2 linked regions of the Arabidopsis thaliana genome follow. The protein of the gene in region 1 interacts with the protein of each later gene in a pairwise test. Each region holds a gene or a part of one and is shown in the gene's direction. Other genes may lie near its edges.

What was found. Proteins that work in one complex are often made in the same cells at the same time.
Region 2: the proteins of HSFA2 (region 1) and HSBP interact in a two-hybrid assay, tested with the Arabidopsis thaliana proteins (one study listed by BioGRID).

The regions. Positions count from the first base shown.
Region 1 is NC_003071.7:11,133,775-11,138,398, forward strand, and holds HSFA2 (heat shock transcription factor A2), read left to right. Parts: upstream 1-1,849; 5' UTR 1,850-2,081; coding exon 2,082-2,390; intron 2,391-2,471; coding exon of another isoform or gene 2,472-2,502; intron 2,503-2,714; coding exon 2,715-3,443; 3' UTR 3,444-4,018; downstream 4,019-4,624. Other genes in the region: ftsh4 (FTSH protease 4), read right to left, coding at 82-318, 457-729, 811-898, 1,326-1,352. UniProt on the Arabidopsis thaliana protein: Transcriptional activator that specifically binds DNA sequence 5'-AGAAnnTTCT-3' known as heat shock promoter elements (HSE). Seems to be involved in other environmental stress responses.
Region 2 is NC_003075.7:8,985,859-8,990,334, reverse strand, and holds HSBP (heat shock factor binding protein), read left to right. Parts: upstream 1-1,673; 5' UTR 1,674-1,995; coding exon 1,996-1,998; intron 1,999-2,609; coding exon 2,610-2,663; intron 2,664-2,755; coding exon 2,756-2,779; intron 2,780-2,873; coding exon 2,874-2,916; intron 2,917-3,334; coding exon 3,335-3,471; 3' UTR 3,472-3,737; downstream 3,738-4,476. Other genes in the region: AT4G15810 (P-loop containing nucleoside triphosphate hydrolases superfamily protein), read left to right, coding at 1-257, 522-1,173. UniProt on the Arabidopsis thaliana protein: Negative regulator of the heat shock (HS) response. Affects negatively HSFA1B DNA-binding capacity in vitro. Involved in acquired thermotolerance but not basal thermotolerance. Crucial for seed development, after fertilization and during embryogenesis.

The DNA.
Region 1 (4,624 bases):
ATGTATTAAGCATAAATTAATGAGCACAAAGTCATTCAATACAGCTATTGGATCACTGAAGAAAACACAACCAAACTCTACCTTTGCCAATTCCTCTGTCCTCGATAAGAGCTCCAATACCAGAAATGAGTAAAAAACCAACTCCAATAGTTCGGATTGTACTCCATAGCTGTTCTTTAAAGTGAGTCCTTTCTGTGGATATCGTATGGATCGGTGCACTAGCAGTTCCAAGGACACCATCTTTTGTTGGTTTTCCTACGTTTCTAAATGCCCCAAGACCTCCAAAAGTCTCTTCCTCCCTTGCAACACCAGCAATACCTAAAAGAAAAACAGCAAAACATTTCCCAATATTATATAGAGAAATGGCTCAGAAGCTGCTAATACAAATATGAAAGCAAGGACACAATCCAAGTATCCATTCAGATTCAAACAAACAGTCTCTCCCTCCTTACCCACCTCTTTGCAATGTTCGAACCAGCTCACTTTGATCGAGCCTATCAACTTTAACCAATGCCTTAATGTATTCCGATAACGCAGAGGCATTCGCATGCAAAGAAGGTTGGCTTTCAAACATTCTGATAACAGCCTCAGGATCATTTCTTCGAATAAGTTCTCTCAGATGTGCAACCTCATTAACTTCTTCTCTATCACGGACTCTGCGAGCAAAGCTACCAACATAACTCGATTGAAACCTCGTTCGCGGTAAAGAAGCTCCACCACCACCCACAGCTATAGATAAAATAAAACCAATTTACATCAAAAACACTTCTAAAACAACAAGAACAACTCATAAACGGAATCAGAATTTACCTCCAGTAACTCCCACTCTAGGAAAAGAGGAGTAAGCTCTAACAAGTAAGCTTCTTAAACTGCTCAATTCCCTTTCATGACTCGAAACCTGTCATCGGTGAAGAGAATCAATACAGATGAAGTTAATTACTAATCCCAAACTCAAAATGACACTAGACAACACATGAAAACATTTTGATAAAAGTGAATACTTTTACCCATTTTGAATCAAAAAAATTGAAACTTTTTATACCAATTTCAAAATTAGGTGACTTGGGTAGTCAAATAAATCAAATGACAATATCACAGAGACAATCTAGAATCCTAAAAGACAACATTTTGAGGGCAGAGAAGAATTTGAGCTTCTAGGGTTTGAAAAATATCATCTTTAGCTTATGAATCACAAAGATCTTGATAAAACCCATCAGAAATTATTATCTAATTAGATCAAATCCACTACAGTATCAAACCAAAGTCGAAACCTTTTTCGTATTAAAAATTGGATAAAGGGGAAAAGAGAAAAATGAAACAAAAACCTTGGTGATGATGCGCCTCCAAGCCATCAATCAAATCTCTCCTTCACGATATCTTAAAAATTGGTGTTAATGTCTGATAAATCGAAGTTCCTCGATCTATATCGGAAACAAAAGACTTCTTCGTTGTGTTTGGGGAAGAACCGTTCTAATCTTATTCCCTAAAGTCTTAAAAACACTAAATTACACGTGAGAGACCTGTTTGGTTATCGGGTGAGAGAAAAATTGTGCAGCAGGTGGAGACACGCACGAGATATGTAGGTCGCCTCTTAAGTACATAAATACCCTTGGACATACCCAATAATTCATTTTAGTAGGCTTTTTCTGGCGGCCCACATTAAAAAGAAGGACCTAGAACATAAATTGGCATCGTTAGAAATGGGCTTAAGTAAAGGCCCATATGATATATATATAAAAAAAGAGATTCTAGATTAGTAACGAAGTTTCTGGAACATTGTCTTGTCTTGTCGCCACGTGCTCACATAAATGTCAAAGAAGCTTCAATACAGTGAAATGATCTTGTCTTGTCTCTAGAACCTTCTCTTCTCTCCCCTTATAATTTCATTTCTCTCTCCTCCACGCCTCAATCTCTCAACTCAAAACTCAACATTTTCTGAAGAAAGTCGCAAACTTTACCCAAAACCCAGTTTCTAATTTTAGCAACAAAATCAAAAATATCTACTTTTGTTTCTCGAAAGTTACGAAATTCATACAATCTAGCTTATCTCTGAGCTTATGGATTTGAGATAAACAACGAAAATGGAAGAACTGAAAGTGGAAATGGAGGAAGAAACGGTGACGTTTACTGGTTCTGTAGCGGCTTCTTCATCTGTAGGATCCTCTTCCTCTCCTAGACCAATGGAAGGGCTTAACGAAACAGGGCCACCACCGTTTCTGACTAAGACTTACGAAATGGTGGAAGATCCGGCGACGGACACGGTGGTTTCTTGGAGTAATGGTCGTAACAGCTTTGTGGTGTGGGATTCTCATAAGTTCTCAACAACTCTCCTTCCACGTTACTTCAAGCATAGCAATTTCTCAAGTTTTATTCGTCAGCTCAATACTTATGTAAGTACCTCTTTGCTTCCTTATATCTACTTAGTCTTGTTTCTGTTTTTGTTTCTAATTTTTAATTTTGGATTTCTTTAGATGGGTTTCCTATGAGTCTTCAGCTATAAAGGTTAGTTCTTTAAGCTTTTAAGTGGCTAAATTGAAATTAGATGCATTGAGATTTTGGTCATATGTTAAGAGAATCATTTAACATAAACTCTGTTCAATCCTCTGTTTCTGAAGTTCAAAATGTGTTTGGTAGTAAAAACAGAATCTTGGAATGATAAGTAAGGACTCTGCCTCAAGTTCAGTAGCTGATGAAACTTGTTTTGGTGATTGCAGGGATTCAGAAAGATTGATCCAGATAGATGGGAATTTGCAAATGAAGGGTTTTTAGCAGGACAAAAGCATCTCTTGAAGAACATCAAAAGAAGGAGGAACATGGGTTTGCAGAATGTGAATCAGCAAGGATCTGGGATGTCATGTGTTGAGGTTGGGCAATACGGTTTCGACGGGGAGGTTGAGAGGTTGAAGAGGGATCATGGTGTGCTTGTAGCTGAGGTAGTTAGGTTGAGGCAACAGCAACACAGCTCCAAGAGTCAAGTTGCAGCTATGGAGCAACGGTTGCTTGTTACTGAGAAGAGACAGCAGCAGATGATGACGTTCCTTGCCAAGGCGTTGAACAATCCGAACTTTGTTCAGCAGTTTGCGGTTATGAGTAAAGAGAAGAAGAGTTTGTTTGGTTTGGATGTGGGGAGGAAACGGAGGCTTACTTCTACTCCAAGCTTGGGGACTATGGAGGAGAATTTGTTACATGATCAAGAGTTTGATAGAATGAAGGATGATATGGAAATGTTGTTCGCTGCAGCAATCGATGATGAGGCGAATAATTCGATGCCTACTAAGGAGGAACAATGTTTGGAGGCTATGAATGTGATGATGAGAGATGGTAATTTGGAAGCAGCGTTGGATGTGAAAGTGGAAGATTTGGTTGGTTCGCCTTTGGATTGGGACAGCCAAGATCTACATGACATGGTTGATCAAATGGGTTTTCTTGGTTCGGAACCTTAACTATACGGTATTAACACATCTACTTGTTGCGGTCTAAGTTATGGTAATGCTACCACTTTTATTTACTAGTTGAATTGTTTGTTTGTTTGTTTTGACTCAAGGAAGAGTCATTGAGTGTGGTTTGTTGTACATTTGTGTTTTCTTGTTCTGATGAATAAAAAACTCTGATTTCGTTTGACAATTTTAATGGTTGTTTGTTTTTCCTTCTCCAGACCTTAGAAGCATGAGATGGAGCTGCGATAAGAGTATCAAGCTCCGTGTCTACTTATCTTAGTACTCACTTTGGTCAACATTTAGGAGTTTATGTAATTAGTAACTTTTGCTAAGCTTTCTTAGAGAAAAGAGGTCATGATACTAAGAAAGTATTTCTTTGAATGTAACACTTTTAATTTTGAAGTTCATAAAATTTACAAACTTGTTGATCTAGTTACTTGGGACATAATTGGAACTAAATGGCCTGTGTGATATTTTTGTAGATCAAGTTCCTGCTGCATCCTAGTCCTATGTAACAACTCACGACAACTTCAAAAAAAGAAAAATGTTAAATTAGATTCAAGAAAAAATAACTCATGACATAAAAGTTTTTTTAATCAAGTTTCTTATAGATGATGTTCCAGTTTCAAATTTGGATTAAATTATTCTATATTCAATGTTTGTCGTTTATGGATTTGCAAACATTTACAAGATCATGCACACAACACAACACGTAACTATAAGCAATAAATAAAACAAGATTCAGATTTAAGATAATTAATCGTTTTTAGAGGAACGGAGGAAAGAACATGTGAAAACAACTATGAGAAGAAAACTCAGTACTATCGATGATACTACCATCACCAAGCTTGAACATCTTAACAGCTTCATCATTCATTCCATCATTACAATATTCTCCATCATTATCATCGAAGTAGATATAATTCTTCAAAAGTCCATGGTACTCGGAACTCTCATCATCATGCTTGATAAATTGATCAGCTTCTGCGCCACTCTGATACGTTCATGAGAAGTTGGCACGTGTGAGAACTGAAGTGAGAGATTGGAGTCACGTGTGAAGAAGATTATAAATAGTAAGAGAGAGTAGAGAGAAAAGCATCCTGCGTGATCATTGATGTGTAAAGAGGATTAGAGCTTTATGTGCTCTGTTCTTGGGAGATAAGATTGGAGAACTGTAACTCCAAGCT
Region 2 (4,476 bases), on another chromosome or scaffold:
CTGCCTGAACAAGAGTTTCCAGCTGATCTAGACTTCTCCATTAACGTCCTTGTTATCGGGAAAACTGGGGTGGGAAAAAGTGCAACGGTTAATTCTATTTTTGGGGAGACTAAATCTGCTGTTGGTGCATTTGGAGTTACCACTAACTCTGCAAATTATGTTGTTGGGAATGTAGGAGGAATCCAGATAAGTATACTTGATACGCCAGGACTCTTGTCCTCTGCAACTGAGGAACAGTTTAATCAGGAAGTCCTTATGTCAATAAAGAAAAGCATGAGAAAGTTCCCAGTTGATATCACCTCTATATTGACCGTCTAGATGACACTCCAGACATCCGTTTACTTAAAATCATCACCAGTTCCCTGGGCTCGTCAATATGGAAAAATGCTATCGTGGTTCTAACTCATGCAGCTTCCGATGTTGTAGATTCTTTAAGCTACAAGGAGTTTATTTCTCAGAGATCTTCTCTTATGCATCAATCAATCAGACAAGCAGTTCCAGAGTTAAGCTGTATAGACCAGAGCAAGATGCCTAGGAATTGTTCTGGCAGAGAACAACATGAGCTTCTTCTCCGCAAACAAAAGCAGCGAATCTACATGTTCGGATTGGAGATTGAACTTGCTGATCTTATGTTGCTCAGTTAAGATCCGGTCTAAAGCCGGTTCTTTGCAAAAGCAGAATACCGATGTAGAAAAGGCCGGTGTCTTTGGCTCCCAGCTTAGCTCTTTCACTCTATTCTGTTCCTTGTGGAATGTGTTACTTAACTCAGGGCACACTTCTCATTCACATGATGATTTGGAGGAGAAGAAAAGGAAATTACTGGATTCTTACCCTGAAATTATATGGGACGAACAGAGTCAAGAATGTCTCGAGCAAGAAACACTTCTCGTGGAGAATCAAGAATCAGAAGACGTGGAGAGACAACATGAAAAAGGAACTGTACTTGGTCGTGTAAGAACCAGAAGAGGAAGACTTGGATTCCAAGCAACAAAAAGGTTCGGTATCTATCTAGATACATCTGATGTGCACGCAGGGTTTTCCATTGGAAGCCGAGACTGTAGAAGAAATGTACAAGAAGAAGGGAAGATCTTGGTGAGGATGAGAGGCTCCATGTCTGTTTTAGGTTTGGTTCCTATGTTGATATCCGTATTCACTTCTGGAAAAGATATTTAAAATTGGAATTTGCTCTTGTTGTAGAAGTTGTAACATATCAGATGTGATCGTCGTGTCTTTTGTATTCCATTGATAATACACGAAAATTAACTATATCAAATACCAATGGTGTGAGGATAAGCAACATTTCACTTGTCTCCTGATTGTCTTGTGGTCAGGTTTGTTACTTCTTCCTCTATTGGGTTGTGGAGGATTAGAATCTCTCACATGGAGATAAGATGCTTATGTATGTCTTTTGGTTGTAATCATATAATTATATAAATCATGTGTTTCATTTCTCTTGTAAAATCATGATAGTGTTCAACAACCTCGTTAATATATCTATTGATGGTAAGAAACAAATAGGCTGTTCCAAATCTACATACTTCAGTCATCAATGTGTCAGGGTTTATGCCATTAGTGAGATAAGTCGTTATACAACACAATTCGAATTGGTCTGCCTTTAATCATCAAGAGGAACAAAAAGTTAAGCCAAATTTACAAATAAGATGATTACAAATAAATGTTTGCAGATTTGAACATCCACAATAATGATTTGAATCATCCTAAGATCTAGATCTCAATACCAAACGTACATAAAAATATTTGAAATTTGAATCACACACACATGATCCCACCCAATCGAATCATAACGATAGAAACTAAAGTAAAGAGGGGGCATTTTGGACATTGTATACCTATAAGGTTGGGGTTAACAGTAACAGCGTTTCTCTTCTCGTTTTATAAACATCGCATCACTCTTCTCCTCCGTCGTCTCTCATCGCTTTTCGCTGAAATCAAAATTTCTCCAGTTTTCCGATCACTCGCAAGAAAACCCTAAAAATGGTAAATATCCGCCTCCTAATATCATTGCGCTTTTTCGATTTTGCGTTTTCGTTCACGAAACCTAGGCTCGTTTATTCGGATTTGTCGATTGCATTTAAGGATATATCTTCGGATTAGGTTTTTTTACGGTTTAGTGGGAATCTCGCATGATATTCTTATGGTTGTTCTGTTATTGTAGATCAATTATCGAAATGTTGAGTTTATAGTGAAATCTGGACGATTTAGAGCATCTTTTGCTGGGTTACAATAAGATTTTGCATTTGCTCGATTTTCTGTTTTCATCTGTGGATTTTGAACTTGTGAATTCGGCTTTTCAAGAACTCTAGTATCGTGAAGTCCAGGATCTGATGGGGAGATTCAGTATAAGTTAACTTTTTCGTCCTTTTTCTTACTTAGAAATGTTCATGTATCGAGTTTGCTGTGTGTAATGCTAGTAGTACTAAGAAAGTTCAGATAGAAATATTCTCAATGGGCAATAGTTCATGCTTGTTTCTTTCCTTGTAACAATTTTTTTTCGTTAGTATAAAGCTTCAATTTCTTGTCCTGATGATTGTTATATTTACTGTGTCTTTGAGTTTCTTCTTACAGTTTTTTTTTTCTTTTGCTGACAGGATGGTCATGATTCTGAGGATACTAAGCAGAGCACTGCTGATATGACTGCTTTTGTGAGTATTCTCGTTCTCTTTGTTTGGTATTTTTGTGACTTTGAGACAATTTCACTTGGTTTATCACTGAATCCTTGAATTTTTATATGCAGGTCCAAAATCTTCTCCAGCAGATGGTAGGTTTTTCAGCTTTTATGTCTTCGTAGGCCTTGGAATTATACCTTCAATAGGTAGATTTTGATTAAATTTGGTCACATTTGTGTGTTTCAGCAAACCAGGTTCCAGACAATGTCGGACTCCATCATCACAAAGAATATCCTTATATCAATCTGTGGTTTTACTTGAGTGTTGCTTGAAGTAGAATATATGAAATGTTTCCCTCCTAGAACCAGTAATGATGATTGATTATTTGTGTCTTCAAGGAAAGAAGTTTAGTACTAGGTATTGAGAATTATCATTAGAATCTGTCTATTTTTCTGATTAAAGTATTTCTTGAGAGTCTAAATGTCTATTCTATGGGTAGTAGCACATGGTTCTATGGTATTTTCTCTTGTTAAGTTGCTATTATATGCATGCTTGTTCTTCTGCTCGCTATATATTCTAAACAAAAGCAACTTTATCACCATGAACTGATACAAGTTTGTAATCTGTGGTAACTCTTTGATCAGCAATCTTGTGTTCATGACATTGGTTTTGATCTCCTTGACTTTGATTTTGATTTGATGGTTCACTTGATGACATGGGAGGCAGAATCAATGAGCTGGAGCAAAGCATCAATGATCTAAGAGCCGAGATGGGAGTAGAAGGCACTCCTCCTCCAGCCTCCAAATCAGGCGATGAACCCAAAACACCGGCTAGTTCCTCTTAAAAAGGAATGTGGTGTTCATTGACATGTCCGAAGGAAAAAGAAAAACTATGAAATATGTTAAGAGCAGGCAGTATTACTTTTAAAATTCCTGTTTTAAGAAACGAGTTTGTTGTTTATTAAAGTTCATCAAATAGATTGATGATGTGGTGCATTACATTATTCTCCACCTATGAATTGCATTTCTATTTTGGTCTTGAGAGAACTAAGAAGTCTTCTTATGCTCCTATAATTCATATTACTGTCGATACTTAAACGCAACTTATCAGGGGGAATAGACAAACCAAGTTCATTGTTCCATTTTTGGGTTTGATTCCGGTTTTATTTTTTCAGATTTTGAATTTAGAAAAGGTTAAAGTATAGGAGCCATAGTTAGACTGATCGATTTATCAAAATCGAATCTCATAGCTGTATTAGGCTTTGATTATTTCGCATTTGTGTTTACATGAAAAAGGTCGGTAGAAATTTTTTAACAGTCTATTTTTGCCCAATGTGAATATATTTTCAAAGAGGATATGTTTAGCCTGCGTTTACAACTAAAAACAAAAGTTGTTTAAAATGTTGAAAATTGCAAGGTTTCAAAGAAACACACTAGATAGAAAAGTAGTCACAAGACTATCATTATCGAATAAATCAATAAACAACTGGTGATGAGTTGGTTTATGCTTGTCATGAGGTATGAGTTTGCGGTCCAAAACCCCTTTTCTCCAAAACTTTGGTTTTTATTTCTCTGTGACAAAGCCCCTTGAGGACCCCGGAGGAGCAAATAAAGTGTATCTTCGAATATCAATGCTTTGTTATTTTGTTTTGACTATTTTTTCTCCAAATCAGCCTCCCTCTAATTATGGGGAGTAAATTTAGTGTCTTCCCCCTATTTTCTTTTCTCATCATCTTTACATTGTGTAACGTTTTCTTCTCTTTTGAGTTTTGACAATTTTTCTCCTCCAAGTGGCTCCATGACTCAGATTCTTTTGACATATTGCTGATAGACTTTAATGTAATTTGTAT